Linked DNA regions of Styela clava. The protein of the gene in region 2 purifies or fractionates together with the protein of the main gene of each other region. This does not show direct contact. Links are inferred from orthologs where the notes say so. Each region holds a gene or a part of one and is shown on either strand. Other genes may lie near its edges. The genes, in order: serine/threonine-protein phosphatase PP1-beta catalytic subunit and protein phosphatase 1 regulatory subunit 12B-like.

Region 1 (17,158 bases), on a different chromosome or scaffold from region 2:
TTATAGCAATAAAAAGAAACAATCAATCTGAATAGCCATGTTAGAGTGATAAATAAATGCAGCATATGTTTTCAGGAATCAGATGGAAACATGCAGTGAATATTGATGGAACAGCTTATTTTTGTTTGATCCACTTATACACATTGAGTAACTGACGGCCAGAATTCCTGTGCTTAATCAACGTTTAATCAATTGCACGTAAAACCATGACAAATTCAAATTTTTTTGCAAATCATAGAATTTGGGCATCTTACAGTTATATTTTATCCTCTAGGTTGAATAGCTACCGGTATATATATTGCCCCCTTGTTGATGTTATTAAGAAGAAAAAGAAAGTATGTATATATAATTTCTGTACAAGCATCAATGACTCTTGCAACTGCAATGCTACCATACAACGTTACATCTTTATTTTATAGTGGTAAATACTGTTATGTGCATGCATACGTGTAGCATGTTCAGTACATGGAAGTGCAGTATTGTTTATTTGAAAACACTTCTTTTTCAAAATCATTTTTTTCCTGAATTAATTTTGTTTGGAGGAGTTATCGGCCTTCCAGAGTTCAACCCTCCATATTGATATTTGGCTTTCTTCTCAGCAGGTTTCAATATCTTGAAAAAAAAAATTCCGTCTTTTAGAACACAATAAGAAAGCAATTAATTTCACAGTTACAAATCCCAATCTAAATATAGATGTCAGTCTGAACTTTAGCCTTATCTACACTCAAGACTGCATGTTACGATATATTCTGTCAACAATCTACAGTGTTCTATGCTAACTCAGTTAATCTCCCAGTATTGGTGCAGATGTGTAGTGCAACTATCCCCTCAAATAAAAAGTCATGGCATCATTTTAGATATAATAGTCTGCATATCGTACCTGAAATGAGCAGAGTAATGTCTCATCAATACTCATCATACCACCGGCATTATCAAATTCTCCGCAATAGTTGGGTGCAGAGAACAGTGTGATCAGTTGGCGTTTTGCAAAGAACTCATATCCATCTTCAACAACCTTTCAATGTGAAATAATTTGTTTGGTTTATTCCGTTGCTAGCGAACGGTATTTCATTTATTGTGATATAGAGTCAAATGCATATAATAAGTTCAGTGATTAATATTTACACATGAGACTATATTCTTGTTGAGACTATATTTTTGTTCTGGAGAAATATCTCTATGAAATTTAATAATTGCAGGATAAAATGCATAATATATGCTGGAATAAATCACTCAGATCATACTATGTAACCTCCTTAAAGTCAGTAAATATCCAGTTTGCAAATCCATTTGATAGTATCCCTCACATTGGAATATATTCCACAATCCACATTATAACCAAAGACCCAAAACACGGCCCTTAGTCAAATATTCATATAAATATATTTTTGATAATTTAAAAAATTTATCATTTGACTTTTGTTAGCCAGTTATTTGTTTTTGGGGTGCATGAACTTGGTGGTGGAGGCAACTGGAACCAATCAGCGGTTACATGAACCGCCCAACGGCAGCGAGAGTTCAGCAATCTGCTTGCACATAATTATTCTACACATGATTCGAACCAAGGAATCCTCGCAGGGTAATCAGAGGTGCCGTGGCAAGCGTATTCCTGACACGCTTTAGCACGATACGCCACACCACACCAATGTGCCATTTTAATTTTTCCAGGTAATTGCCACTGGGAGTGGGGTGGGCTTTTCATATTCATTTTGGCCAGGTATTCTACTATCGAAAATACATCAATCACCATTGTAATCTATGAAGAGACAAGTCCTGGTTTAATATTTATCGTGAATGATTGAATTGCATCCAAGTTGAAATTTCCTGTCCGTTGAAATCTAAATACTGTTCAATCCAAAGAATCAAGGAAAATGTATTATCTGAACTTGTGAAGAGACGGCTTACGTATAAAACATTCTCATACTGATCTGCCAGTTGCAGGTAAGATGGCAGAATTAAAAAATAAGGCTGCTCTCTGTTTTATATATGGTAGTATATTATATATTGGCTATTATACTACAATATTAGTAGAATAGTTTTCGCACAAATCCTAATGTTATTGATAACAAATTTACAAGATAATCAATCTAAAAATAAATTCCACAAGAAAAAGAATGCAAAAGTTTGAAAATTACCTGATGAGCTCTGCATATCAAGTCTAAATCATGTCTGTTTAAAAACTTGCTGACAATATCTTGGCCAAATGTAAATGAAACTCCCCTGTCATTTTCGCCCCAACCAGCTATGTCTTTGTCTGGATCAGCCCACAATAAATCACATAGAAGTCCTAATAAAAAATTGAAAACCGTTTGAAAGATACTGATACTTCGTTATGGTCCAATACATTCTCAAAGTGAAAAAAAACTACACTACATAATAAACATTAATTTTTTTAATAGGACTGCCAGTGGGTTTTGGATTTTTTCCAACACAAGTCGGGGTCCTACCATGCAACAATGAAAAACTAACCTGTGTCTGGAACATCTGTTGGCCTCATTATCCTACGAATCTGATCCATAGTTTGTAAATCGGGCGACAATCCTGAAAAGATTTAAACAGATGGTAAACAGAAAACCATTACTGAAAAATTTACTATCCTGCATATATTCGATAAAGCAGTTTCATATATGCAACATCGCATATGTACAAGTAGGCTACTAAATATAGATAAAACTTGAACAGAGGGGCAAAATTATAACAGGAACGTTTCATACTTGAGAGTTGAGACAGAGTAGAGAAAGCTTGTTTATAACCAAAACGAATGAAATCTCACTTTAAAATTTACCACGCATATACTGCTGTTGTTTTCATTAAAATAGGTGGCCATATATCAAGATCAATTACATTGAACAATCAATCACACCAAGCAAACAATTCTTCTGTTATGGTTTTTTATTTTAATTCAATTTGATAATATCCTAAATTATTCTCGTTTTGATTTTATCTCTTTAGTTTGTATGTGTGTGAGCGTGCGCCCAGTAATTTGCAGATGAGTGAACATGTACCACATCTCACTAAAACACTTTTTTATTCAAATTTTTTATTCAATAAACCTTACTCAGATTTTGTTAGCTCTGTTGATTCTATAATCAGTTTTATTTGTTTATTTTTATCTATTATTTTGTTACATGTCATGCTGATTATGGAATCCAAATAAACTTTTATTTATACAGTCTTGAATAATTTAAACTTCATGTACTTAATCTCAATTTGTTAATAATAACTTCCATTGAAAAACAATATTAGTTATAACTTATACTATCTTGATTAATAATGCTTATCATTATGAACTCATGTATCATAATATAAGTAATAACAAATCACTATCTATTCTGAGTAAACATTCACCTCCATGACAACAAAATATTTTCTCATCAATAATAGCAGCTATAGGAAGACAATTGAAGCAATCGGTGAAAGTTTTCCAAAGTTTTATGTTGAATCGACGTTTACCTGAAAAATAGATGAAAATTTTGTAATCTTATTGTCAATGAGGATATATGACAATGTACCGGTAAGTAAGATGAAATCTAGTTTCAAAAGCAGGCAAGATGAAGTAATAAAGTTTTAGTTGACATTACACGCAATTAATGCTTTACATTATAACATTTATAAAACGTGATGCAACCTTTATATCGCATGATTGAATTTTTTCTGAATAGAACAACATAAGAAAGAGTTTACAGGCTATGCGAGAAAAGAAGGCAAGCAAATTCTATCTTATTAACAGGATTCCTTTACCATAATGGCCTTATTTAGTGCTTGTGTTAACGAGTGATTTAAAAAGAGCACGCACCAAAATTTGATATCTAATCCTGAGGTAAATGAGGTTAATGAAATGTCTTGTACAACAGTAATAATTATGCCGGCAAAGTATGTGTTAGATATCGTGGCTTGAAGAAAATATGACTTAATTATTATGACAAAGTAGAATAATTTGTGACTGAGAAATTTATTAAATAAGTAGTTAGTTTCAGCATGTCAATTAAGGTGTGAGAACTTGCAGAAAATTAAAACATAAATATCAAAATAAATAGTGAACCAAGGAAGAAGCACATAATGCAATAAAATGGGATGACTTCCATTGTCATCGAGCTACAAAGAACTATAACTGCAAATGGTGTTTTCGGTTTCGTATAAACTGTACAATCTATATAGGTATAGTATATTATTATAAAAACTGTTTGAAGAATTTAGAAAACCGTGTAACATCTATCACTTATCGCAAGTTACTGACTTACTGGTACTCAAATTGTTAACAATTTTTTTTATCCAATTTATGAAGAAGAATATTGTATTATTAATGATAATATGGAAAAACAAATATTAAAATTACATCCATACTAGTATACTTGGTAATTAATTTTTATTAAAATAAATATGTAAAAAAAAAATCAACAAATTCATTAACAATTTCCCAAATAAAATTGCAGTAACAAATATCACCGGTCCAAACTGGATTCAGAGTCGCAAAACATTGCACACACAAAATTTGACTTTATTTTGCCCATTTATCAAAAGTAAGATTCCTTCTTATCAAAGTTTAGTCTATCTGTGACAACAGTAATTAGTTCCTATCATTTATTAAAGGTTACTTTTGATATACAGCATATTCTATATGCCGTAATTTCCTTGCTTAATTAATACACAGAGAAAATATAATTTACTCCTATTCAATGGTTTCCCCCATTGTTAAATCAATGTTTACTGTAATCAATACCACGAATCAACATAGATAGTGTCATACTGTAGTGTTATGATTAATCAAATTAAAAGTGATAATATTCTTAGAAATTGAGACTAATGATTAATGAACATACTGCACAATAAAAAAATTCAAATTTACATTCCAACATAAAGGCATACAACCACCCTATCAGACTTTTGGTGTCTACACTTTTCGTAAATCAAAAATTGTACAGTGAAATTCTAGAATATCAAACTGATATATGCTCCTACTTACATTCATCATGAAATCCATATATACGATTGATGCTGGCACATTCATGATTCCCTCGAAGTAGAAAAAAGTTTTCAGGATATTTGATCTTGTATGCCAATAACAAACAAATACATTCTAGAGATTGTTTTCCTCGATCCACATAATCACCGAGGAAAAGGTAATTAGAATCAGGCGGAAAATCACCATACTCGAATAAACGTAATAGATCTGTATACTGTCCGTGGATGTCTCCTAATATTAATGAAACATTCGTATAATGAATCAGGTATGATCATCATATTTACATTCTATTTATTAAATTCTTCGATTAAAGATTGGTCTATCAATTTGTACAGTTGGACTAAGAAAAGAATATTCTTGTGACATTATAGACAATATTATTTTCTGTATTATATTTGTCAAGGAAATTCATTTGAGCTGTTGCAGTAGGGAAAGTTCTCAGATTCCACGATTTTCCGACATTTGTTTCTATAAAACAAACCGGATCGGATTATTTTTTCTGAGAAATGCGATGGTGGTGTTTTTAGATTGCTCTTCCTTTTAGTTTTATTGCACAGTTCCGAATTGCTAATTTTTGCCTATATAGAGGCCCAGACTGTCTCGTAAAGGAGGGGTATGGGTTTGCACTCAACTGTAATCGATCGATATCTTTCAATATGTGAGTTATGTTAGAATCGGAGAACTGTGCCATATTGTATTGTCCTAGCTCTTAACTTCAGTTGAACTTGATTGAATTTCTCAATAAAATCACATACTTAAATTAGGAAAACTAAATTCAAGATCATGATTTTATCTCACCACATATTTTCAATGGTGCTTCCAACTCCAAAAGAATAGGTTGACTTAAAAATATTTCTCTTGATTTGATACAAAGACCTTTAATTTCTGCTTCTGTCATTTGTACTGTTCTCCCCGGTCTGCCCCCACGAACTGAAATATAGAGAATGGTGTTTACGAAATGCTTTCAAAGTAAGATTAGCATTAAAGATCTTGCAGTAAGGTCAGAAGGTGATATAAGGCTATATGACAGTTTCTTCTGCATAAACCCATATTTTATTAATAAATGAAAAAAAGATAATAGGATAGGATTTACATATTTATCCTGGGGGAGAGGGAAGCCGATAAGACGGCTTAACCATATGACAAACCACGGCCTCTCGTCCGGTTACCATTCAATGTCGGGGATGGGATTAGTCAGTTATTTTTTGCAAGCATGGACTTGATGGTGGAGGAAGCCATAACCGACCAGCGGTTACGTGAACCACCCTACGGCGGCGAGGAGTCCAGCAATCCTCTCGCACATGACCATCCATGCATGTTGAACCTGAGAAACCCACGAGGAGTAATCAGAGGTGCAGTGGTCGAGCGTATTACTAACGCTTATCACGATGAGCCACACTCTGACACTGCCACGCCGGTGATAGCCTATTTGGTTAGAGAAGTTAATCATATCTTGGAATTGAAATTAAAAAGTTAGTACTAACCATCAAGAAGGCGTTTTATTAATCCATCAACATCTAGTTCACTGTCTGCCATGTTCTTTAAATATTTTAAAATCAATAACTAGATGATAGACTAGAATGAAAATTCAAAATAAATCATAAATCGTTAGTTGCGCCAATTGATTCTGGATGACACAAGAGTGTGAATGATTTTTAAAAAAAAAGATGGCACCACACTGCAAGTTTTAGGAACATGCTGTCGATGAATGTTTGGCAAAAAATTAAACTCAAAGTATACAAAACAGTTTAGCACTTTCTGACTTTAAAAATGTTCGGAGCAAAAATGCATAAAATTGAATTTATTTTTCGAATAAATCAGGGTGAATCCATGAAGATTGAATTTCGCATTGCAGTATAGTTAAGGCAAACATTGCTCAGATAGACTTTATATTATATAGCCTACATGCCGGATTAGGTCTAACCATCTTGATATCAAATGCTTGTAATGGTGAATTTTTTGAATAAATATATTGTATGACAGTACAGCAGTATGAAGTACAGTATAACTAGTTTACATGTACTCGAATATGTGATTTATTTCAACATGGCTGGTTTGAAGCTTCTGCAGGTGTAGACTACTGTTACAAAACAGTGAAATACTGGTATTCACTATTCCAGTATTCAGCTGTATTTGTAGAAACAAATCTGATACTGGTAATACTGTAATAGGTTTAATAGGTCAGTAGGTTTGTAGGTAGACTATCTGCTGATCTGATCAAAATCGTAATTCTAGAAAATATATATTTATTCTGCATATTCAGATATTGCTGTATTGCCACATACAGATTTGAGGAAGAATAAATAGAAAAGCAACATTCACTGTTCAAGAAGTGTGGTATCGGTACGGTACCGGTATCACTGTATCAAGCCAGTCACCGAATGTTACCGTATAGAACTGAAATTATTTTGCATTATTCAACTTAGAGCTAAAGTTACATCATGATTCTGTAATTTGTATCGTTATGCAGTTGTGGGTAGGTACGGTAGGCACGTACCGTTCTTCTCGTTTTCGCAACTCCCAAGGCGATTGAAGAACGAACCATACGGTAGTACCGGTAACGGTACCGGTACCAGTAACGTTTTGTGACCGAAAAGTCTGTGGGTCTCACGTACGTCCAGTGTAATACTTTTAGAGGGTGTGGCTAAACAATTTCTACATATGTCATTCCTGGCCCCATCTGATGATGTAATCCAAACATTACGTCAACGTGACGACATGATATATATAGAGCTTTTTGCGTTATGGCGTCCGCATCCACTTAAACAAATAGGGGTACCGTACGGTACAAACGCCAGCGATCTCTCGCATCGGAATTATTTCGATTAGCTGAAAATAAATATGAACAGCGAGCAGGTATAAATCAAATTCTCGGACGAAAGTTCAAGAGGCATCAGAGCAACAGCCGAATTTTGCTGCGTTACCGGTATAGTAGGACAACAGACATGAATATACAAATAAAACTCTTGTACAATACACAGGACAAAGAGGTACTGCACCATGATGATATGTACAATAGGCAGTTTATGGCACGTTCATCTCCCAGGTTCTGATGTGAATAGGGTATAAATTAGGGTTAGCATTTCGGGACCAGTTTTTGAAATCCCGGTATCGGGATATTCCGGGATTGAGCCGTATAATCCCGGGATTTTTCGGGTTCAAGTAAAAGATCGAAACAACTTGCATGACAATAAAATTACGTATTTATTTCATGTAATATCGGCGCGGAAATATTAAAGCATCTATCAGTAAGTAGTTTATTTTTCACCATACTTCAAAATAGGCACAAACATACAAATTGCAATAAATTATAAATAGGTCATATTTCAGGGTGAAGGAGACGCGGGAAACCAGTACTGGTTATTGAGCACCGGCGCCCATAAAATAAGACTAATACTATATTATAAAGAAGAAAAAGTCGAACTAAGTATATGTAAATTGAAAAAAAATGTAAGTAAATGGTTCCCAACCTTTTTGGACACGTTTAGTGGCCATAACGATCGTTTCAATATTATGTTGTTGTTGTTCTTTGACACGTTTTTAAAAAGTCGCTTTTCTTTTCGAATACTGGACCAATTGCTTTGAAATTTTCAGTGGTTAAAGATTAATTTTTTCGCTAGAAGGCTATTACTTTTATTTATTTCAAAATTTTGCGTGAATTCTATGAAATTTGATATTTCGTCTAAAATTTTGCTGTATTATTTTTTATCCATGGGAACACGGATTTTAGTCAGTGTCATGACTGGCTGTACGTTTTGATTCTGCAAAATTCTTGCTACTGGAAATTCAGAACTTTTTTGAGGGTACCGGTAGCGTCAAAGGTACCGGTAAGGACTGATTCGCTCTGGTCTAACGTGTCCATATATTTGTGCGTAGCTCTCTTGTTTTTTAAATCGTGGCACACTAGTTAGCTCTTTCAATTTTCGTGGCACACCTATCACAAAACACGAACATTTTCTAGTCATGAAGAGTGCGATATTTGAACACGAACAAATGGTTAATAGTTACAAATTTAAAGCAAACGAAAGCGTCTTCGCAACACCTCACATTGTTGTAAAAGTCGCGCGGCCGCATGGGTAATACGTGGTCTTCAAACGCACCGCCGATCACGCGCTTCGGTTTTGCTCGCCCTTCCACGTTATGCTTTTATTATTGGACACGTTTAGTGGCCATAACGATCGTTTCAAAATTTTGTTGTTATTGGACACGTAGTGGACATAGCGATCGTTTCAATATTATGTTGTTGTTGTTCTTGTTATTTGACACGTTTTTAATAAGTCGCTTTTCTCTTTGATTACTGGACCAATTGCTTTGAAATTTTCAGTGGTTGAAGATAAAAATTTTCTTCAGAAGGCTATTACTTTTTTTTTCTGCAATGACGTCATCAGAATTATTGCCCTTAGGGGGCGCTACGTGTCCATATATTTGAGCATAGCTATCTTGTTGTTATTTTCTTTCGTCATTATCATTAAAAAATCGCCTTTCTCTTCGAATACTGGTCCAATTGCTTTGGAATTTTCAGTGGTTCAAGATTGATTTTTTTGCCAGAAGGCTATTACTTTCATTTATTCCTGAATTTTCTATGAATCTTATGAGATCTAATATTTCATCCAAAATTGCGCTGTATTTATTTTTAATTATGGGAACACGGTTTTTAATCCGCCAAGCGTGACGGCTGACTGTGAAAATTCTTGCGACTGAAAATCCGGAACTTTTTGAGGGTACAGTACCGGTAACGTCAAAGGTAAACCCTGCTTCGCTCTAGTCCACGTGTCCATATATTTGAGCGTTGCTCTCTTGTTATCACTCGTATTCTCACTTTTTCACAACCCAATTCATTTTTGGACACGTAGTGGACATAACGATCGTTTCAATATTATGTTGTTGTTGTTCTTGTTCTTTGACACGTTTTTAAAAAGTAGCTTTTCTCTTCGAATACTGGACCAATTGCTTTGAAATTTTCAGTGGTTAAAGATTAATTTTTTCGCTAGAAGGCTATTACTTTTGTTTATTCTTAAATTTCATATGAATCCTATGAGATATGAAATTTCATACAAAATTTCGCGGTATTTATTTTTACTCATGGAACACTGTTTTACACTTATTTCAAGCGGTTTCGCGATCGATTGTCTTGCTCAGTACTACAGCTACTGTAGGTCGGTACTGGTAAATTGCCATACAGGTACCGTAACGCAGTGAAATTGACTTATTCCTTCCGCGGTATTACTAATGCTGCAATGCAAGTTTTATAGCCTATCGTATGCGGAACGGAATATCAGACCTACAGGTTCGGTACCGGTACTGGTAGCTCAGTACGTAAGTACGATACTGGTACTGGTGCCGGTACCGGTGTCTTACCACAATGAAATTACCGTAACTTATTCTTTCACGGTCCTACCAGTGCAGTAATGCAAGCGTTGTAGCACTTGTAGCCTACTATATTTGTTTATTTTGATGAGAGTCTACTGGAAACAACATAAAATTTGAAAGGGAAGAATTGTTCTGTGATCAATTATCTGTCCTAAAGTGTAAACAACATAAAATTTGCCAAGGGAACAACTGTTCTGTGATCAATTACCGTATATGGCCTACAGTGTACAGGTAAGATGCTGGCTGACTGCTAACCGGTACTGGTAGCTCAGTACGTAAGTACGATACTGGTACTGGTGCCGGTACCGGTGTCTTACCACAATGAAATTACCGTAACTTATTCTTTCACGGTCCTACCAGTGCAGTAATGCAAGCGTTGTAGCACTTGTAGCCTACTATATTTGTTTATTTTGATGAGAGTCTACTGGAAACAACATAAAATTTGAAAGGGAAGAATTGTTCTGTGATCAATTATCTGTCCTAAAGTGTAAACAACATAAAATTTGCAAGGGAACAACTGTTCTGTGATCAATTACCGTATATGGCCTACAGTGAGTGTACAGGTAAGATGCTGCCTGACTGCTAACTCAGTACCGCTTGACACGTTTTTAAAAGTCGCTTTTCTCTTCGAATACTGGACCAATTGCTTTGAAATTTTTAGTGGTTAAAGATAAAAATTTTCTCCAGAAGGCTATTACTTTTTTTTTCGCTATGACGTCATCAAAATTATGTGACTCTACGTGTCCATATATTTGAGCATAGCTCTCTTGTTGTTACGAGTCAATACGTTTCTCCCATTGCCAAAATCATTTAATAGTGTTATTGTCGGCACTTGCGAGAGAAAGGAAAGAGGCAAACAAACTGTATTTCATTACAACAATTATTCATTATCGCCAAAAACACAAAATAGGTTTAAAGTTGTTATAAACAATTTTCACCGCTGGACGTATCTTTTCACGTTCGGGTAAAAAAAAGATAACCGTTTTCGTGTTCAAGTTATGAATGAAATAATCGTCAATTCCACCACGCTTTTGTGAAGTAGAGGAATTTTTCTAAATTTCTGAAGGTTTTATTAAGTTTCATTGCATCAGCGTTTAGACTACAAGAGAGCTATGCTCAAATATATGGACACGTTGAGTCACATAGTTTTGATGACGTCATAGCGAAAAAAAAAAGTAATAGCCTTCTGGAGAAAATTTTTATCTTTAACCACTGAAAATTTCAAAGCAATTGGTCCAGTATTCGAAGAGAAAAGCGACTTTTTAAAAACGTGTCAAAGAACAAGAACAACAAGAACAAGAACAACAACAACATAATATTGAAACGATCGTTATGTCCACTACGTGTCCAATAATTACAGATCGCAAGGGTGGGCAAAGTACTGTAGTATATTTTCACTGAATCGAATAATTTTAACGAATTGTCGAATATCGAGTTGAACTCGGGATTTTATTCCGATTTTTATCTTTTGGGTCGGCTTTGATCTCTCTTGTCACCGTTTGTAAATTAACTGTCCCAATTTTGAGCTGAAAATATTATCATTTCTGACGCCGGAATGCGGATAATTATGAAGACGATAGTTAACCTTCTTGATTTTTGATCATACTTTTCTACTGTGGCTGTTTTATTTTCGTATCCAATAATGAATAAAAACCAGATAATTATGAAGACGATAGTTAACCTTCTTGATTTTTGATCATACTTTTCTACTGTGGCTGTTTTATTTTCGTATCCAATAGTGAATAAAAACCATGCAAAGTCATCGGGTGAATCCTGAGTACTATTTTGAGTTCAAATTATGATTAAATAAGTCGGCAATAATGACAATTCTACTAGTCAAATAATAATTCCTTGGTAAAATTTGACTTAGTCTGACTTACTCAAACTGTAAGCGTGGAAGGTTTTTTTTTCAAAGTAAGTATTAAATAAAATGGTAGGCCTATGTATAACCTACCATTTGTGAGAATATCTATATGTATATCTACAAAGCCTTAAAATCCCGGGATTTTTAAAAAATAATTGCTGGATCGGTATTGAAAAAAACGGTCCAAATCCCGGGATTTTGGGATCTGGATTTTCCGGGGTCCCGACCCCAGTATAAATCGCATTTTTGTGTGTTTTACAGTAGATTGTACGAAACAAGTAAAAATTTGTTTTAGACATGAACCTGCCAAAAACCACCGTTGGGTTGGGCCACGACACAAAAGGATTAGGTTCTAAGAAGGTAAACAATAAACGACATATGTAGAAATTCTTTGTTTACACTCGAGTTGGTAATCATAAATTGTATGCGACAAAAGTAATGAGAACAATAAGAGTCTGGCATAAAATGCAGGCCAATTTCGTAGGCGCTATTGTGTGGAATTTATTGTCACCATGTCTCAGCATGATAAATTTGTATAAGATGATCTTTTCATTAGCGACGATCCAACGAAGTACAAAGCTAATAAACCATAAAAATATGCAGGAACTAGAGACAATAGATCAGTGGGTTGCCCGAGACTTGTTTCCTGAACAATGGGAGTTGGTTGCATCCACGATGACATAGTTAGTCAAACGGAGATATTTTTCATCTGCCGGTCTTTTCTCAACTTTTGAACATGAATGACAATGCTCAACTTGTAGTATTTGTGAGGTGTCATGATGAGAGTGAGGAAAAATTTATGCAAGATTTGTTGGGTATGGTTACCCTCAAAGGAAGAACATGAGAAGAAGACATACATGAAGCCATGAAAAGCATGCTAGAATCGAGAAATATTGGATCTAAATCAATCATTTCACTGACAACTGATGGAGCAGCAGCAATGATTAGGAGAGGAAAAGAATTTTCTACGTTCAACATTTCTTTAAACACTGTTATTACCTAATTAGTCCGTCGTTTTGTAAAGCTGATCCACTCACTTATACAATCGAGGCTTATTTAGATTACCAATTTGAATCAAAAGTATCTGGTATGAAATCCAACGGACTCTCATTACAGACTGCCTGAAAACTGTTTTAAATAACGTATCTTTTTTTCTCTCAGCAACATACTTCAGCCATTATTTAGCTATCCCTATAAGCAGAAAATCAGCTACAAAACATTAATCTTGTAAAGTGAAAGAATAACACAGAAACTGGAAAGTTTCGGACTGAAGCTGAGGATTTCAAAAATGCCTTTGTCGATAATCCATTTTCAGAACTCTTTGAATAAGCTAAGCAAGCAGTGATACTATCTCATTCAAATGCTGATAATAAAAGAATTTATAGTGCAATGAACAATGCAAAAATAATTTGAGAAACAGATTCATGCAAAAATTAAACTAAGGAACAGCATGAAGACAGATTTACTGAATGCAATACTAGTTATTAAATTTGGCCTGATTAAAAAAAATGTTGCACGTCTTATAAGCTACCTGATTCGGATGCCAAGAAAATAGGTACAGCAGAAACTTATAAAAATCTCTCTATAGCAGGGGTTCCCAGACCAGGGGTCGCGACCGCAAATTGGGTCGGAGTGATAAGTAGGTAGGTTTGCAAACAGGTCATGGCGTCGCTGAGTTATGGTTGAGGGTGGATGTACAAAACATCTAAGATTTGACAAACCATGTTAAATTTAGCAGATTGTACTATGGCTTACTGTAAAACAGGCCCATAAGCATCGCTCTATGGCTATGCTTATGCTATAAGAAATGTAGGTGATTATTGTGACATCACTGTTTGATTTTAGTTTATTTCACTTAAAACCACCACATGACCAATCTCAAAAGTCCAATGAAAGAAGCTCTAGAGTTCCATGAAAAATATATATATTGACCTGAGGTCGCACTGGACAATTGAAAGTTGTCTTTGGGGTCGCCCTGAAAAAAAGCTTGGAAACCCCTGCTCTATAGCAACAACATCAACAGATGTTAGCTTCTTCGACATCTAATACAGTATTATGTAATATATTAAACTTTGTGTGCTCTTGTTTCGTTAATTTTCATTCAATTTAAAAACTTCATATTTAGATATATTTATTTGAATGCTTTGGTTTTCAATCAAGATGTTTTTTGAGGTCAAACTAGAATTTGTTTAAGTCAGGCAAGAGTGGCAGCCCCTTGGCGTGAGCCGCTTGTATAGTATCCATCTTGGGAAAAATCACTGTATTTCACTGGCCTTGCGTACGGCGTACCAACTCGTGGGAAGACAGTGTCAAGTCTGTAAATGTTGCAGTTAAATGCGAAGACTTCACATAATCAGAGCCATATTGAAGTAGTCTACCACTCTACCCCATATCAGTACATTCCCCTGCGGCACGTCATTACCAAGTCGAGGTGGCCTAGCGGGTTACCAACGTATTAACCATCTTCAACGTGTTTCACTTCACGTCATTTTGTGACTATATGAATAATGTCGACTATATTGAATGGCAGAGTGAATCCATCAAAATCTTTTTTGTTCGTAATAAAGCAGGAAATGCTTGTGATGCCGAGGGAGGTGGCATCCACTATCCAAATAGAGATGACTCATTGGAGCTAGAATTTTCTGAAATTGAAATGATATAGTGGCTTTACAGATTGTAAATTATCCTTTGCTGCTTGTATTGAATCTAGTTCATGCATTCATTCAATCTTGTCAAACATAAATCTGACTTATTTTAATTGTCAAAGGTATGAAACTGAACTGAATAATTACCTGGAGCGATATGAAAAATCATGCGAAATGCGAAAAATGTGCTTATATCAAGTTAGAACCATGATGGAAGCACTAAAAGAAAAATCTCAATGTTCTCCATCACATCATCATAGTGAAGCAAATGTACTTACCGTATATGATATTGTTTTTCTGAATTCTTTTTACGCTTTATATTTGTATAATTATTTGAAAACAATCTATTTTTGTGACATGGATCTTACCACTAACAACTAGCAAAAATGGGAGAGGTGAATATTGTCTGAATCGAGCAATTATCGAAAATCCGAAGCAAGAATATTAGCTAAGGACTCTAAAGTTCACCTTGCAACTTGAGTAAGTTATATTTAGAAAACTATGTAATGTAATTTTAAACTAAAGATTCCAAAAAAATAGTTACCGTAAATGCTCGTTTTAACGCCCGGTCTTGATTAAGGGCCCGTTTGAATAGCCGCCCGTGTGAACAGGACATAAAAATAAATAAGGGCCGGTGCTTGAATACCCGCCCGGTGTAAAAGTTTTTTTTTTTTTGCGGATTTGTACCTGCGGTGCGTAGAAAAAGTCAAAATTTTCATTATTCTCGTTTAAATCATACTTGAGAACTGGAAATGACAATATACGGTATTAATTATTGTAACGATCGATCTTATCTACCGGTATTTTTGTGTGTAATTTTACTTTAAAAATAACAAGCGCCCCTGCTTGAATATGGGCCGGTTTGAATAAGGGCCCGGCTAGTGAGTATGTTTAAAAAAAATAACGATCGATCTTATCTACCGGTATTTTTGTGTGTAATTTTACTTTAAAAATAACAAGCGCCCCTGCTTGAATATGGGCCGGTTTGAATAAGGGCCCGGGTAGTGAGTATGTTTAAAAAAAATAAGCGCCCGGGCTAGTAAACGAGCAAATACGGTATATATATATACAGGTTTGTTCGAAACGAAACAAGTTGGATACCAACATGCTATTGTGAAGAAAATGGCGAGAGTACCTATACCAGGGGTTGTCAACATACGGCCCGCGGGCCGCTTCCGGCCCGCGATGTGATTTTGACCGGCCCGCTGACTGTATCCAACCACACCCTGTAATGTGGTCCAACGCATCATTCCTGAAAGTTTCCGATCGCTCTACTCTCACCGCACTGTCAGAGCGAGCTGACGAGCCTTAGTGAACAAACAATGGACCTTTCCCCGACCTTTGACCCCGAAAAAATTCTTCCTATTCTTTACCATTACAAAATTTTCGGGGCTTAATTTAAGAGTGGTTTCGCGAGTTGGCGCCTGTAAAATGGGGTATGTGTTTCAAACCATCATTATGATTCATGCATGCAACAATCAGTTTTTTAAAAGCACCGATAAAAAATTTTAGCCCAATCTATCACAGCTATTTCTACACTAATTTTTTATTACTGCAATTACATTAAAACTCATAAGAAGACAGAGTGATCATTGAATTATCTCATTTATATTTAAATTTCCGAAACACAACTGAAAACTGACGAACAGAGTTCAAAAACGCGAAAACGAGGTAATGTTTACGACCATGCCTGAAAATCTGTCTGAGTGAGAAAAGTGTCTGAAAGGATGCGAAAAGGGGACATTGTTACGTCACGTTTTGCACCTTGCTGATTGGCCAATGTCACGAAGTAAACAAGGAATTCGATGTTCGGGGAAAGGTTCATTGCGTTAGCACACTTGTTCAACAAAGCAGAGAGCGTTGTAAACATTCCCCACTACTGTTATCAGTTATATTTAGATTCTAAATATAAATAGATTTTAGAAATTAGATTTTATATTAAGTTTTAACCATGGAATATCCCAAGAAACGTAAAGTTGACAGAGAGTGTCGAGCATTTAACAAAGATTGGATACCGGAGTATTTTTTACAAAGGTTGGCAACAAAGCAGTATGGTTACTGTGTGGTCAAAGTGTTGCGGTATTGAAAGAGTACAACATTAGTCGTCATTATGTAACGAATCATGGAAGCTATGGCAATAATTTATCAGCAGTGGAAAGGCAAACTAGAGCAACAGAACTGGACAGAAAACTTGCTAGGCAGCAGAATGCTTCGTAAACGCAATTTATAATTTTCTTTCTTGCATTAGCGAATAAATATGTGATTAAGATATTGAATACTATTCATGTAATAATCCGGCCCGCCGGGGACTTCATT
Region 2 (17,369 bases):
AACTTTGGTGCAATAATTCAAACAGAAACAGAATCTATTCAGGAATTCATCACCAGACTGAAGTCAGTAGCAGTGGACTGTGAATTTTCTTGTCCTCAATGCAAACACAACCTATCGTCACACCACGTTCGAGATCAATTCATCAGAGGTGTCCATAGCACAAGCCTCCAGACTGAATTGCTCGCCAAGGCCAACCAATTTAAGACTTTAGAAGATGTTATCAAACATTCAGAAGCCTTTGAAACCGCTGTAAGAGACCAATCAAAACTTCAGAAAACCGCAGAAGTATATGCGGCACAAACTTACAACAAACAAACACCAAACACCCGCGAATCGCAAAGGCCATGCGCAGGTTGTGGAAGTCTATCTCACGGATTTCCAGGTTCAAGGAACCGTTCAACAAAATGTCCTGCCTGGGGGAAAACTTGCACCAACTGTAAACAGCTCAATCACTTTGCTCGAGTTTGCCGACAGGTGAATCAGCCCCAGAAAAACCAACCACAAGCAGAAGCTAATGCCCTACTAGCTCATGTACGTTATAACAAAAAACGTCACTGCTTTACTACAGGACAACATGGAATGGATGAAATTCAAGCAACAGTACATCCATTTCCTCAGAATCGCAACTCGAAACCATGCACGGTACTAATATTCCCAGATAGTGGAGCAAACATTTGCTTAGCTGGCCCAAAGCATTTGCAGAGCATGCAAATCAAACAAAATCAGTTGCTTAAATGTCATAAGATAGTGACGGCAGTTGGAGGATCAACACTGACTTGCTTCGGCTGGCTGCCGGTCAAATTTGTAATTGGTGGACACTCTACCACACAACAAGTTTACATTTGTAACAAAGTGGATCGTATGTACTTCAGTCGCCAAGGCTGCATTGATACCAGAATCCTTTCTAAAGCATTTCCTTACCCTATGGAAATGGAAGCAAACGTGGCAAAAATTAGCACAGCAGACATCCCCACTAGTGAGAATTCATTGGGCCAATTACCAAAACGACCAAGAAATTTGCCATTCCCACCAATGGACACGAACGTCCCCCGACTGGAAAAGTACTTATTGGCGGAATTTGCAAACACTGCATTTAACAATGTCACACCATTTCCAAAAATGAATGCACCCCCAGCCCACATTCACCTAAAGTCTGATGCTCAACCATTTGCACATCATACTCCTATTCCAGTACCATACCACTGGAAAGAAGCAGTGAAATCCAGTCTAGACAGAGATGTAGAAAGGGGTATTATAGAACCTGTCCCTGTAGGGCAACCAGTTGAATGGTGCAGCAGAATGGTAACAATTGCAAAGAAGGATGGCACACCCAGACGTACTATAGACCTCCAGCACCTAAACTCCCAGTCATTGAGAGAAACTCATCATTGTCAGACACCATTTCAACTGGCATGTCAGATACCTCCTAAAACTAAAAAGACCGTACTGGATGCTGTAGATGGATATCACGCCATAGAACTGGATGAGGAAAGTCAGCATTTAACGACTTTCATAACTGAATGGGGAAGATACATGTACAAACGAATGCCTCAAGGATTCATTGCAGCTGGAGATGCATACACAAGACGTTATGATGATATTATAAACAATACACCTCGCAAAGTAAAATGCGTTGACGACACGCTACTATATGATACAAATATAGAAGAAGCCTTCTTCCACACTTGGGATTACCTAGCAACATGCGCAACAAATGGCATTGTACTGAATTCAAAGAAATTTAAATTTTGCAGAGACACAATCTCATTCGCAGGATACAACATAACACCAGATGGCATAACACCATCAGCAGAACTTCTCAAAGCAATTAGAGATTTCCCAGTCCCTAAAGACATCACTGGAGCCAGATCTTGGTTTGGTTTAGTTAATCAAGTTTCATGGGCTTATTCAATAAGTGAAATAATGTTACCTTTTCGTGAACTCATAAAGCCAAACTCAAAATTTTACTGGGATGAAGCTTTGGAAAAAATATTTGAAACATCAAAACAATTACTGTGTGAGACAGTTAAACAGGGCATACGTTCCTTTGACACAAAACGTGCAACTTGCCTCCAATGTGACTGGAGCAAAGATGGGATCGGATACGTTCTTCTTCAAAAATACTGTGATTGCTCGATCGATAAAGTTCCTATTTGCTGCAAAGATGGTTGGCATTTGGTTTATGCCAACTCCAGGTTCACCACGCCAACAGAAAGTCGATACTCACCCACTGAAGGAGAAGCATTAGCAGTATCCTGGGCCTTACAACACGCACGAATGTTTACCTTAGGTTGCCAAAACCTCATTGTGTCCACTGACCACAAACCCTTATTGGGAATCTTTAAAGATCGAGACCTGGATAGTATTAAAAATCCTCGAATACAAAACTTGAAAGAACACACCCTGCGATATAGATTCACAATGCAGCATTGCCCAGGGAAATGGCACAAAGCACCCGATGCTTTATCACGCAATCCCACAGCCTTGGAAATAACAGATACGAAAAATGCAGTGATGGACATAGCACGAAATGACCCATCATCTGATGAAGTAACAACAACAGAGCAGTGCGAAGCTCGTGTTCACGCAATTCAACAATCTGTCATCAACTCAATAAATGATGACGATGCGCTTGTGACCCTGGATCACATTAGAAGCCATGGAAAGTCTGACAAAAGCTACAACATACTCATCAAAACAATTGAGAATGGATTCCCTAACACAAGACATGGGACACCGCCTGAAATCCGGGATTATTGGGGTGTGAGAGATCGCCTATCAACTAAAGACAATGTAATACTAATGGACTCTCGCATAGTTATTCCCACTCCCCTTCGCAAGACCATACTGAGGTCACTACACTCTGCGCATCAAGGGATCACAGGCATGAAAGCAAGAGCAAACCAATCAGTCTATTGGCCGGGCATGAACGCCATGATCCGAAACTTTCGATTTGGATGCCTCACATGCACGAAATACGCTCCATCTCAAACTAAAGAGCCAATGATATCGAGCCCGGCGCCACAGTATCCCTTTCAACACATATGCGCCGACTACTTTGTACTGGGGAACCACTGCTACCTATCTGTTGTAGACAGATTCAGTGGTTGGATCAGTATTTTTCATTACCCACCACATCGATCAATCACTAAAGAGCTCATCAACTCATGTCGTGGGTTATTCACATCCTATGGAGCACCAGAAGAATTTGACTCAGACGGTGGACCTCAATTCACCTCATCCGAATTCCAGAACTTTTTAACTGATTGGGGAATAAAGCATCGAAAGTCCTCAGCATCTTACCCACAATCTAATGGACGGGCAGAGCTCGGAGTTAAAACTGCCAAGAGGATCATTCGTGATAGCACATCACCTGACGGTTCTCTGAATAATAATAAGGCAGCACAGGCAATCCTACAATACAGGAACACTCCTCTGCAAGACATTGATCTCAGCCCAGCTCAGATACTTCTGCATAGACAACTGCGGGATCACGTTCCTACAAATCCACAGCATTACCGTCCCCATCCACAATGGATTATATCTGCAGTGGAACGTGAGCAGAAACTAGCTAACCGCCATCACATCATTATCGACAAATATAACAACACATCGAGACAACTCCCTCCACTGTCAGTTGGGACAACAGTCGTTATACAATCACAAGTCCCAAACAAGCCACGACACTGGAACAGGACTGGTCGAATTGTGGAAATCCTACCTTACAGACAATACAAAATCAGAGTAGATGGCTCGGGAAGAGTGACTATACAAAACAGACGATTTATACGACCTTGCATCATCATTCAACCTCCGCCGATCATGCCATTCTCACCAACAATTCCCCCCAGCGGAGAGAGAGATGAAGACATTGGAAACTCTGGGAGTCATAATGCAGGAACTACTCAAGACACTCCGGTGGAAATACAACCAAGTCATCATGTGAGCCCATCGCTAACCAGCAGAGCTCCAAGATTGCCTAGGGCGCTTCAGAGGTTACAGCCCTACAACAAGCCAGGACGACTTGAGGAGAACTATAATGTTAACTGAACTGAACAAAACATTTCTTAATTTAAAAGACTCTGCGCCTCTGCCGGAGGGTGGAGATGAACATTACATTATATTTCATTGCATGTTTTAACTGTTTCGTTCTTGTTCTTTAGATTGTATTTTACTTAGATTGCTTAACTTGGTTGGCCTTGTACTATAGTTAATACTTCATGTGAATTGATTTAAATAGTGACGGCAAGTTATAAATTTGACTGACTGCCTTAGCGTCGACGGGAATAATGTTCGACGTAAATCAAACAAAGTGCATGGCATCCGAAATCACCAACCCAGACACATGCCCGTATTATCTATATAATTAGTGATGTAACAACGTGCTCACGTTGGTTCTTAGCGTTAATAACATTTTACATTTCATGTGCGCCGCGTTTGCATTGTTGTATCCAATTGAATATTTTATAGGCTGTACACCTTTCGTATACCCTTTATCAGTTGTATACCCAACTTATGGTCTGGTGTACACTTGGGTATACCGTATACCCGGTTAAAGAGCATTGGTCTAAGTTACTGTGCGATGTGTCCAGAATTAAAAAACGAAAGTACGAAGATGAAAACAGAGTTGTCAGAGTTGCCTTGTTTATCTATTTATTGTTGTTGGACTCTTGTGTGAATTTCTTTTCTGTTCATAGTATTTCGATAATATTAATAAATTCACAAATTCTGCGGCTCTTTTAAAGTTCTGACTTGCAGCTTGCGGCTCTTATACTAAAAAATTGTGCCCACCCCTGAACTATACAAATATGAACATCTCTAAATTTAACCCAATAATTTGATCCAGTGGTTGGTTTTTCATGATATTCATGTACCCCCATATCAATATTGATTAATGATGTATCAGAGAAATAGCATCTGAGTCAGTGACATACTAGTGATATATTAATCCTGCTCATACAATTCCAGTAATCAATGAGACACCGTATGTTGGCGAGCAATATGGCATAGAAAATACAACAATTTTTTATTTACTTATCTGAGAAATAGTCCATTGATGAACAATTTTAAGTAGACTGACAAGAAGAAAAAGGGTAATCAAAACTTTTTTAAAACATGCTTACACTCTTAATAGTTCAGTTTAATTATTTTGTTCAATTTATTCATGATTTGGTAATTCTATAATTAGAACTGATCATTGTGTATCAATAGCTATTTGTTAGCTCGGCAATGCTCGTGTTACTGTACTGTTGGAAATGAAAAATTGCTTCTCTTGTACCAATTTACTTCTATTTTTGCTAGTTCATTCTGAAAAAAATCTCTCAGCTAATAACCACTGTATCACTGTACAAGACCATGGAATATTTATTCGAAGCATTGAAGAATTTTTATAATCTATTCGATTGTTTTAAATTCATGTAATGATAAATATTGCATGAACATCACAGCATTTTGAAAACCAAAATTAGAATTTATTGCCTTTCCAGGCTCGGAGAATATTGTCAGATAGAGTTTCTGTACCTCGATTTTCAAAATATCCTGCGACACGCCTTGAGTTTCAAACAAAGCAATATGAATCATTTGATAACAAAAGTTAATTGCTACATTCATGAATGGTCAGTAACAGAACATTTATGTTATACCGTTGACCAGCCTACTGGATATGTTAACCCGGGTTTGAATAGGTGTTCCAATTTGAAGGATTTCTACAAACTTCCTATTTCAATACAGTCGGGCACAGTTTCTAAATTCCAAGAATGTCCAGTCATTTGTTCAATAAAACAAACACTCCATGTTTCTCACAAACGAGGGGCAGTTGGCACGATGACAACGTCATATCGTGCCAAGCTTGTCTCAATAATAATCTAAATTAATCACAGCCGTCACATGACCAAAATTGCAGTTGTTTTGCAAACTCTCGAATGCCACGGCAAATTTTATTTCCTTCAGTAAACCGGATTTTTTTCGAGAGGAAGTCAATGATGACATTTTTTAGATTGTGCTTCTTATTAGATAAACAAGATTATTAAACACAACAATTTCCAGACGTCCTCGAAAAGAGGGGTGTTTAGTCAAAATGGGATTCTCTGAAACGGGACAATGTTGCTCGATCTGTTAGGTGCCGTACTACAATATGAGAAAACTGGCAAAAAATTTATTGTTTTCAAAATGTTAGAGCTCAACGTCGAGATTACTAACAGTCATCATATTTTTAATGCCAGCATATTTTTAGATATTTTTTGCCATGTTATTTATAATTATAACATTACTTTAATTAGGTAAATTGCTAATAGCAAAATAATCATGATAGTTTATTCACGGATTCATGTGGTTAATAGTCAATTTGCTTTTTCAGATATCTGGATATAATGAAAACTGTATCAAAACTTCGAAGATTGTGATTATTGTTGTTTCGTCAAAAAAAAATTAGGAGAGTGTGGTTAAGTATAAGAATTTGATAAACAACAAGTACAGAAGTATTGAAATCTAAGCATACCGTATTTTCTATAAAAAAGAGATCAAGTATCATGCCCAGATACTTGTTTGGAAAAAGTTTTAGAAAAATTAGTTTGCCCATGCCCAGATACTTGTTTTGAAAAAGAATTGGAAAAATTATATACTAGTCACTACTGTTAATTGAATTGATAAAAAAAGGAGGATGAGAGTTTCGATTTATTTTTGTTTGATACAGAATTCTGGTATTATGCATTTTCTTTGACTGAGGGAATATCTTAAATAGCGTTCAGTTAACCTATTACATGACCATACCTGATGCAAAGCAGTTAATCCATCCACATTCGCAAAATTTATATCCGCCCCATTTTTGAGCAATATTCTGACTTCGTCTAAATCTCCACTAGAACATGCAGCTAAGAATACTGCACCGTCGTCGAACTTGACTCTCACTTTTGGATTTGCATATGTTGGACATTCTAAATCAGTAGCTGAATTTTTCCATCTAGTTATCTGTTCTTGCCTCTTTTCTTTTGCAGTTAAGGACCGATCGTCCTCCATTTTGACCCAACCTACAATTGCTCGTAACTACGTCATCAGCGCTCGCATACCTTCGCAAATTTCCATCACAAATGACCAGAAGAGGGCGCGACAAAATTAATCTTCCGTTTGCCTTTTTTTCTTCACAGCTCAAGGCGATAGTGCATTTGCTCCACGAGGTGGCCGCGTTAAAAAAAGTATTGCGCGATATATCGCCTTTCCATTAAACATTTGAGCCTAATATAGCAGGAGTGTCACGCGCTCATTAATACACTAGAATAAATTTATATTGACGCGGAAGATTAACAAAGGGCAAAATATAAAAAAAATCTATTGTATTGTTAATGTTTTCCTCTACAGTCCACTTTCGTATTTCGCATGATGGAAGAATAATAACAACGAACAAAGCACCTGCGACGGGCACTGCAATCTTGACGTATTGTCTTCGGGTGTACATATTACAAATTGTAATGTTTTCAACGCCAATTCCCAAAAACAAGAGGAATTGGCCCAATATTCTTTATAGAAATTGCCCTCCGTGGTCTAAAATTCCTGTCATAGACATTCATCTTTGAAACTATTACCATTAAGAACTTTATTTGTAAATATTCAAGAAGATCGTAATATTTTGACAGCATCAAGCTATAATAAAAGCATACCAATCAAATAGCATTTAATTCTGTACAAATAAACGGCCCAAAAATACATAGGCTCCAAGACAGGAAAAGAACCAGAAAACACTCAAATTTATTGTTAGTGATGGCAACAGACATTGTAAAAGAATATTCACATAAGCTGTCTGTTTGTTGGCAGTGATCGCACGTCTTTGTTTTCACACAGCCTATCTTTAAGAAAAACCAGAGATGGTATGTATCAAAATACTGGCAGTAGACACCATTCTCAACCATATATTTTATGAATTCTGTTACACCAGCAATGAATTTTCACATATTGAAGAAATTACGAACAGCATCTCTATCTGTTCTTCCCATCATTTCCAATTCCGATATAAGTTGAGGTAGGGGTGAATCAGAAAGTGTGATCGGCCGCTCCTTTGTCGGAGTTGGGAAATTTAGTAGAGTGGAAAAGAAATTCGCCCAGAAACTTTTGTGAAACCATCTGAGAATGAAAACGTATAGACTTTGAAAATGATATTCTGACGCAGTATTTTGATTGAAAATTGATTATTCGAACTGCGTACCTCTTAATTTTGTTCTGTATTTCCCATTTTCCGTCTTGGTTTTTTCTTATTTTCATGTAGGAACCAAACAGTACAACATGCAGTGACCCGGCAATTCCATATAGATCAATCTGAAAATAAAAATAATAAACAAAAAAGGGAAATGTATACAGACACAAACTATTGTTACTTGAATACTTGTTTTAACACAGAAACTCTGCTAATGCAAACTTTATGAAAATAAAATGTGTTCTCAAATACCATGCTATAATATTTTTTGAAAGCGGATGAAACACCCTAAAAATGCTAATTTAGTAGAAGATCCATCAGTTCAATTCATGCCCAATAATATCATCATAATTGGAAAAAATAAAATTGAAAATTTGTAGCAAGTATACCAGAATTCTTGTTCACAGATTTGTGCATATTGTGTGAATATAAGCATGTGTCAATAATATTTCGGTATTAATATCATGTAAAAAATATAGAAGACAGTAATTTAAAATAGTTACAAATTCACTCTTACATGGTAATTCCAAGGTTCTTTGTTTTGCATTTGAACACAAATAAACGCACTCGTACAACAGTTCTTTATAAATGAAGATCCATACGGCATTTCATTCATATCGATAGATCGACCAAAATCAATTAATTTGATCCCACCAATCTCAGTGAGGGAGTCAGAACAATCAGATGATCTGCAAACAATTTGAAAATTATAGTTGCATAGTTTATTTCGAATGAGGGAAATCCCAGACAAATAGAACATACTAAATCAGGGGTGTGCAAAGTGGTCCGTAAGCCAAAACCCGGCCCGCCAAGCCATTTAGTGGGGGTCTTGTCAACATTCATATTTTCCCCATCAAGCATAAAATCCTAATCGGACAGTTCATGTTTAAAAAGGCGCTCACGTGGGCCAAACTACATGTTTTTCTGCTCTTGTCGCTGAGTTAAATCATTCGCCGTTTTGACTGTTGCCTTCATTTCTGCAATACTAAGCTAAGTGATAGCCGTATTATCTTCTCTTGCCTTCCCACGGCACTCTGGTTATAGGTAGCTAACGTATTACGCTGTTCCATATTATATTGTGACATAATAATCCGTAAAAACCCAAGTGTTAGTGTGGACCAGCTAGCTGTCCGAAGTTAGTTTTAAGTTGCACACCCCTGTACTAAAAAAAGCCATACTCACTCCATTTCGATTTTATTTAGCCCAGAAGCAAGCTTTGAATTCAGACCAGAAAGTTCGGAAAAGTGATAGAGGCAACAGGAAGAAACCAGACTTTCCTTGAGTTATTAGCAACAGACAAAATCATTCAACTTATATGAAGACTTCACTACAAACGTTCCATGGTACATAAACTATTAATGAACTCACAATGGAACCACCATAAAGTTATCAGGTTTGATATCGCCATGAATAATTCCGACAGTATGAAGACTATGAACTATTCTCATCAGTTGATTTGCAATCCACCTTGCAGTTGCATCTTTCATCATTACATTTTTATTTGCATTAATTTTATCCTAAAAATAAATGAGAATTTATTTACATTTCAAAGTCAAAGAGTATAGCTGAATGGTGTTAAACTATCTTGCAATTTCATAGCTGATAATCAATTTCAGATTCGCAAGGTTAACTTCAGGGGATGAATAGTAAAACTATTAGTATTCATAATTACAGTTAAAATATACAGCCATTTTAAAAACAACCAAAGTATTCATTTTGGCTATGGTTTGAATCTCTATGTTCGAAATTTGTTCTTACCAGTAAAGTTCCCTTTCCATAATGCGGCAGTGTCAACAAAGACCCATCTTTATATAAATAAGCTGAATTAATATTAACAATTGCATCAGCAACATCAGACATTCCTTGTAATCTTAGTCTCGTCTTTGCTTGATTTATTATATAAACTTCCCATGGACATGAAGGTGTTTCAACCTGAATTGAGAACTATTAACATCCCAAAAATAGTCAGAACAACTTTTTGTTTTAGTGGAGAATGGGGAAATAATTGTGATTTATGTAATATTTTTCTGTTCAAGTTGAAGGAACAGTTGTTAGAGTTTAAGCTAAATTAGTAAAATTCACAATATCGCAAAATGCAGATCAGTACTTGCCACTTCCACACTCCCTAAAGTTGCAAAAACTAAATACTACATGGAATCGAAAATTTAAAAGCTAAAATTCGGAAAAGCCAAAATTGAAAGTGTCAACTGGAAGTAAAATAATGGGAGAAAAAGTTAAAGAAACAAAATATAAACTTGGGACATTTTAATTTAGAACATTATGTTGAAGCGATTGTTTAGTCGTAAGTCATTTCTTAATATCTCAAAGTTTAATTCTGATGTCTGCCTGTTACTTTTCTCCACATCACGGCCCTGATTCCTTTTATCCAAGTCCAAGTTTTTAAACAATTTAAATATATATTCCAGTAGTTCCCAAACTTTTAGGGCTCGCGGCCCTCTACCGGGAGGCTTTTAGCACTCATGGCCTCCCTGTTTATCATTCTAGTGGTATTTATAGTGATATTTTGATTCCAAATCTCATTATGTTGAAACATTTCATGCTCAATAAGGAGAAAACAATCTGTGAAATAACCTAGTCAAACAATGAAACTAGGAAGAACAGGGAGTTTTCTTGTAAAGTGAAAAGTAAAAAAGTTTCGCGCCTAACATTATGAGCCCTCTCCAACTGCTCTGTGGCCCCGAGGTTGGGGACTGCTAATCTATTCAATGACGATAAAATAATTGAACATACCTTGAGAACCTGCTGACAATCATTTTCATTAGAAGCAATATAGAATACTTTAGCAAATGCTCCTTCACCAATCATCTGACCAAGTTTAACATTCTTTCCATCTGAACAAAAATAGGAGTTTTATGTGAAAAATTAAAATTAAAAAAAAATTCATTGCTTGAATTAATATTGGATGACTGATCCCTCGGCCCACAAGAGAGCAAAAGCATTTTCTCTGGTGGCCATGAACTATGGCCTTCACTAGACAACTATAATCATTAAGATCAACTTGATTACGATTTGTTTAATTATTTGACTGAAATGTATATATGCTTATGCTTTCATATGTAAGCTTCACAATATACAACATTGCAAGCAAAATAACTAAAGGGAGCGTTTTTATAAAAACTAGGTAGGTTTTTTCATCCGAATGCTGAGTGTCCTAAGATAGGGTTACAATCAAGGTTAAATATAAAATTAACGTCAGAAACACAAAACTTTATTTTAGAATCCATAATATCAAAAAATATCCTATCCACAGTCACATTTTTGTATGTTTGCATAAGCCACACATGGGATATATATTTGCAGTAAAATCCTGATGTCACACAAACTATTTTAATAGGAAAAATGCTATGCTAATTTTGAATTAGTATATCCTCTCTTAAACACAATCTTACAAGGTGCCACACCCAACTAACCAAACCTACTTAACTTCTCATCAATACAAAAATGTGAAAGATGGAAATGATCAAATGACTATGGTTTTCCATTGAATTAAAATTACCGTAAATAAAACTCGGGCTAACTTCAAGACCAAGAAAAGGGGAGTTGATTTAAAACATACGAAAACGAAATAAATAACAGAGTGAAATGCTTGAAAACGAAATTATCGAAATATGAATTAACATTCCAATTACAGCAAAAAAGACAAAAAAATTAACGATATACTTAGATTCAGAGTTGATCCTTTGCGAATGCTAGGCATTGGCATGGTTGCCATATGATGTATCTCAGTGTCTTTGATATTTGACAAATTGTTATGATGTTCCATGATTGAATTCAATAAATCTTTGTTCCACGGATCATCAATGATGTTTGGTAAGGATGATTGCGCAATACTCTCCGCCTCTAAGTTTAAAAAAAGAATAAGGATTATTTACCTTCACTAGTAATTTAACAAAACATAATGTGTGTAACGATCTCAGCAACAAATCCTATGTAATATATTGAATAGGTGATGCTAAACTGGAATGATTCCAGTCCTTTCAAAAGTAGTAGTTGCTTACATATTGTTGGATATCAGTAGAGGCTTATTCAGATCCTTGTTCAGAGCAAAACGCTTGGGTAGGTGTGGATTGCAAAATGGCCAACAAATATACAAAAGTTAAGATATAGATATGTTCTATGCTAAATAAGAAAAGCTTTGAGGATGATTGAAGAATTAAAAAATTTATCTTTCTCTATTTCATATTATAATTCTGCTTTGTGATATACCAATTTATGACATCACAAATGAAATAAGTATGACGGTTAACTATTGTGACACTGACATCACACAAAAATGCACAATGTAATAATAAACTACATTTTCCTAAAAAATGAGATAAATTTGAATTTTTTTAAAACAAGAAATTTCAAAAAGTTTTCGGACAAAAAAATAAAATTCGCATTCACCAAAATCAGCTTTCTTGATTGAAGTTGAACTAAAATCGGTGCAAATTTTTTCAATTTCCGTATTTTCTTTCAGAATTTTTTGACTTATAAAAACATTGTCATCTGGTTTAATTCTGTGGAAAACAAAATTGAAAAGCGAAATTTAATAAAGAATAAATAAAAATTTGAGAGTTGCTGTATCCGCTTTTTAGAAAAAAATTCAACAATGATGGGATCACACTTAAATTAAGCAACCAACTATGTAAAAATAAGTAGATTCACTTTAATGCAAAATTATAGAATATAAATCTATTGTGGTATGGACATTGATATCCAATGATATGAAATATTTTGGAAAAATTTCATTAATTTCTATTGAATAAATCTTTAGATTTTTTCATATTTCTAGTTAGTTTGAAAATTATTTTTTTTTTTACCAATTCATAATAGTGAATCTTCCCCCCAAAACTATAATATTTTTGTTTAGCAAAACCGTAAACCAATAGCCTATTGCTACAATACTCTCAGTCATATGTATGTATACAGAAAATACACAGAACTTTAAATTAAGATTGCTCAAATATGACTAATTTTGGGTACGGTTAGGCCATAATTTTATTCCGATTTTCCTTATTTTGGTTCTATTACGAGTTCGGTGACTGTTTGTGTTAGCTAAGTGAATATACCCCCTGCCCATAAGTTTCAGTTCCCTTGATGTAACACAGCTTGATGTAAAGTAGGCGAACAAAATTAGTTTCCCTCCATTGGCACACATCATTCTGGAGCGCCCTGTTTTTTACATACCAGTAATTTAAAATCTACCGTTATATGAAATTACAAAAAGAATTACTCACGAAAAAGCATCAGAAGGAGGTTTCACTGCTTGTGGTGATTCCCACAATCCACAATCGATAGTACCTCCAAAATCCATGAAATCTAAATTTCAACAATGCAATATTTAACTCAAGTATCAGTTGGGGTTACGCAAGACTTTTCCATGCTCTTTGTCAGGGGTCGGCAACCTTTTGTCTTTTGTGAAATATATAATTGTTAGGTTATAATATAATTTAGTATAAATAATATATTCGTCAAAACGGATGTTTTGTAACTATAATTTAGTGAAGCGTCGCGGGCCGGATTATAATGCTCCGCGGGCGTAGGTTGCCGACCCCTGCTCTATGCCTTCGTGGAAGTGAATCTGTATACGTGTAACCAAGGATGCTGTGGCAAGAATAAAGATGACTATACTCAGGGTTGTCCAAAACGAATCGAATATTCGAATGTATTCGAATATCAAAGTATTCGAATACCTTTTCGGCTGATTTTCGAATAATTCCGAATAGTAGCCACTTTTTGCCGTAAACGTGGTGTTTCGGTTTACGGGAATATTTAAACGACTCTTTACGCTGTCTCACGTAATGACGATGAAATAGAATCGGCACTTTGATTGTTTATATTCTGTGCGACCGTACCGTGTTGCGACACATTTGCACGTTTGCATATTTAATTTCTATGTGGCCTGCTTATTATTCGCATGAGTCTTCTCAAGCATGATTTGTGTAACCTTATATTTGGGTCTTAGCTTAGGGTCTGCCAATCATGATATTTAATCGCAGGCTGGTTATCGTTACTTTAAAGAGAAACACGTCCACCAAGATAAAGTGATTTGTGACCCTTTCGTTTTGCCGATTCAGCAAAACACGACAGGGACAGGAAAACAGCTGTGAAATAACCCGTGGACGTACAGTGTAGTACCTATCACATTCCAAAATTATTTCAACATTCGGGTTAATAGGTTGTTCAAAATGATTGCCGCTTTACAACTTAAATTTACCACTCAATTGTTGAAAATAGTTAATTCTGTGAGTATGATTCTACCAAACTAACATGATCTGGTTCTAAACATATAAAATTATTAGCGAATTAATGCCAAATACAACGGGTATTTGTGGACATGAAATACGTGGTAAACTGCCCAATTATAATTAATTTCGTATTCGTGTTTACAAAATAATAAAACTAATAATTCTAAAATGCAACGGCGATCCGTGGCCTTCAAATGTGTGGTAAACTGCCCGATTTACCAACATTTGAGTTATGATAATAGAATTAAATTAACACGGTAAGGCATTTTAAGTAGTGGTATCGGTCATGGATTCGAATATTTTGTGCAGCACAAAATCATCCTAGTAAAAAGTCCATACTTTTAAATACAAACCAATGGCAACCATTCTCCAAATTAGTTCCCAAGAGCGGGATAAAATATAAATTCTTTTTCCGACTCGTGACAATTTTTCGTGAGTACGAAAATAAGAATCAAAACTAATTATATTCGGCACAATATCACTGCAATCTGTGGACATAAATTGTGTGGCAAACTCGCGAATAATATTAATTTTTGATTCCTATTTTCGTATTTACAAAATACAAAGGCGATCTGTTAACTTACAATGGGTGATAAACTACCAGATTATAATTAGTTTTTAAATTCCTATTTTCCTATTTATGAAATAATAAAAGTATTATTACTCAAACATACAACGGCGATCTGCGGACTTGAAATGTGTGGTAAAGTTCCCAAATATAATTAATTTTTGATTAGTATTTTTGTACTCACGAAAAAATTGTCACAAGTCGGAAAAATGCCTCATACTTTATCCCGCTTTTCGACAAATAATTTGGATAATGGTTGGTATTTAAAAGTATGGGCATTTTACTAGGATGATTTTGTGTTGCGCAAATATTCAAATCCATCATCGATACCACTATTGTCGTATTAATTTAATTCTGTTAACATGACTCATGGTATATAAATTATATACTGCAATAATCTGCAAATATGAAATGCCTGGTAATATAGCTAGGTTGTAACTTGTAGATAGCAGTTATTCCATTGCTTATTGTATGGAAATTCCTACATACATTTAGGTAAGCTTCAATTAGTGGATTTTATTTTCGAAGTATGCGAAATTTCATATTCGAAAAAAATAATTTCGAATGTATTCGAAATAGTGAACTATTCGGTATTGGCCATCCCTGACTATACTATTTGATTTAAGAGTCTTACATTTGAACTATGAATAAAAAAGTTTATTTACAACAGCTAGGCAGATGTTTATATAATAAGCACAATGTAACCATCGGGGTGGGTCATTATTTTTGTTGATATTTTATCTCCATAAAAAGTACAGTCGTAATTTCAGCAGACACAAGTGGGCCGGATGAAATACTTCGGCGTACCGGATTCGGCCCACGGGTCGTAATTTACCCACCCCTGGTATATCAGGTCTTGTATGAATTGAACCGATACTGAATAGTTGGACTTAACTACGACGCCATTGCAGGTTAAAATCTCAGGTTCGAATCCCATGCCCCCAATATAACCCAGGATGTAATAAATTGGGTAGGCATGGTTGAACAAGAAAGATTCCTGTCCTTCTAACTATAGTAGCCTATCACCTAGTAGTGGCTGCTTGAGCAGAGACTTTTTCAGACCGAACAACAAATAAAGTGATGTATGAAAAAATTTAATCTGCTGTTCAAATGGCCAGATTCACCGTAATCCTAATTAATACTCATTAATTTGATATATCAGAAATAAAAACTCTAAAAACTGCAAGGAAATACCAATATCGACATACCCAGGATATCATTCGTTTTCGAAACTGTACCATTAGTCAATGGATCAAAATTATTAGTTTTTGATAAGTCGCTTCCGAAACTTTTCATTTTGAGGGGATCATTGTTAACGATTAACAATGGATCATGAGTTCTATCATACACTGATTCTCCACATGATGACTTAGCTTTTCCCATAACAGAAGATTTATCTGATTCGTTGCTGGCTTCCAAAATCGGACTGTAAATAAAGAAATAAGTGATATTAACGTTAATATAATATTTAAGGAGCATTTCTGTAATAACTAGGAATTTAAGGTTAGATACTTCGTTTTCAAATCCGAGACAAATATGTACTCAAGGTGTAAAAAATAATGTTATAGGCAGGGATGGAGCTGAGGCTGTGGAGTTTGTTAAAGCTGGAGCTAAGCTTAGCCCTGGACCAGGGGCGATGTAAGTGTGACGTTTAAAGTTACAATTTACAAACAAAATTTAAAGTCTTACAAAAGCAAAAGTGGAAAACAATAAACTAAATTGTCAGGCTGTAAGTTTGCCCATGTCAGGGTTAGAGTATACAAAAAATCCCTACATAAATATCGGACCAATTGTTTATAACTACCTTAGTTGTTTCATTTCAGCAGGAATGTCAACTTCTTTACCATTTTCCGCTGAATAGAACATATCGTTAGTATTTTCATCATAATCATTATGAATAGAGATTGGATTGACAGAAGGAGCAGAAGATTTGCCGATTCTGTCCTCGGACTGTTCATTTACGTTTTCCCGATGAGGCAACATATCAGTGACCGTATTTTCCGTTTGAATACGACTCAGATGATTAATGTGAGTCATATCTTGAAGTTTTTCTAAAAATTAAATTAGTTAGTCATGTATGAAAATTGCGCAATATGTCTACAAGAGATACAGACAAAATCGAAAGATTAAGAAAATTCATCATTCTCAAAAAACTGTTTCTACTCGATTTGTTCATGTCAACAATTTCTACCGGGACAATTTCTAAGGCCTAACATTTAAAACGTCGAAAGTCTGGGTCGGATTAGCAGGTTATACATCCCATGACCAGTACCTCACCCAAGGTATAATAAATTGGTTAGCATGTCTGGATAATTCGCCGTGAACAAATTTGCAGCAGGAAATCTCGCCACAGGAAATTTCGCCTACT

The links.
Region 1: the proteins of protein phosphatase 1 regulatory subunit 12B-like (region 2) and serine/threonine-protein phosphatase PP1-beta catalytic subunit purify together in Drosophila melanogaster (affinity purification with mass spectrometry; 3 studies listed by BioGRID, with this or other methods). This does not show direct contact. The link is inferred for Styela clava from reciprocal best matches to the Drosophila melanogaster genes Mbs and flw.

The regions. Positions count from the first base shown.
Region 1 is NC_135250.1:14,151,327-14,168,484, forward strand, and holds the start of serine/threonine-protein phosphatase PP1-beta catalytic subunit, read right to left. Parts: upstream 6,574-17,158; 5' UTR 6,500-6,573; coding exon 6,448-6,499; intron 5,894-6,447; coding exon 5,762-5,893; intron 5,195-5,761; coding exon 4,964-5,194; intron 3,454-4,963; coding exon 3,349-3,453; intron 2,542-3,348; coding exon 2,470-2,541; intron 2,288-2,469; coding exon 2,136-2,287; intron 1,016-2,135; coding exon 881-1,015; intron 613-880; coding exon 511-612; 3' UTR 1-510. UniProt on the Drosophila melanogaster protein: Required for cell adhesion in non-muscle tissues and in maintenance of muscle attachment. Vital for larval development.
Region 2 is NC_135255.1:4,339,828-4,357,196, forward strand, and holds the start of protein phosphatase 1 regulatory subunit 12B-like, read right to left. Parts: upstream 7,102-17,369; 5' UTR 7,015-7,101; coding exon 6,769-7,014; intron 1-6,768. Other genes in the region: uncharacterized protein LOC120330794, read right to left, coding at 7,938-8,112, 8,195-8,304, 8,700-8,871, 9,551-9,699, 9,941-10,126, 10,934-11,034, 11,864-12,043, 12,590-12,702 and 3 more.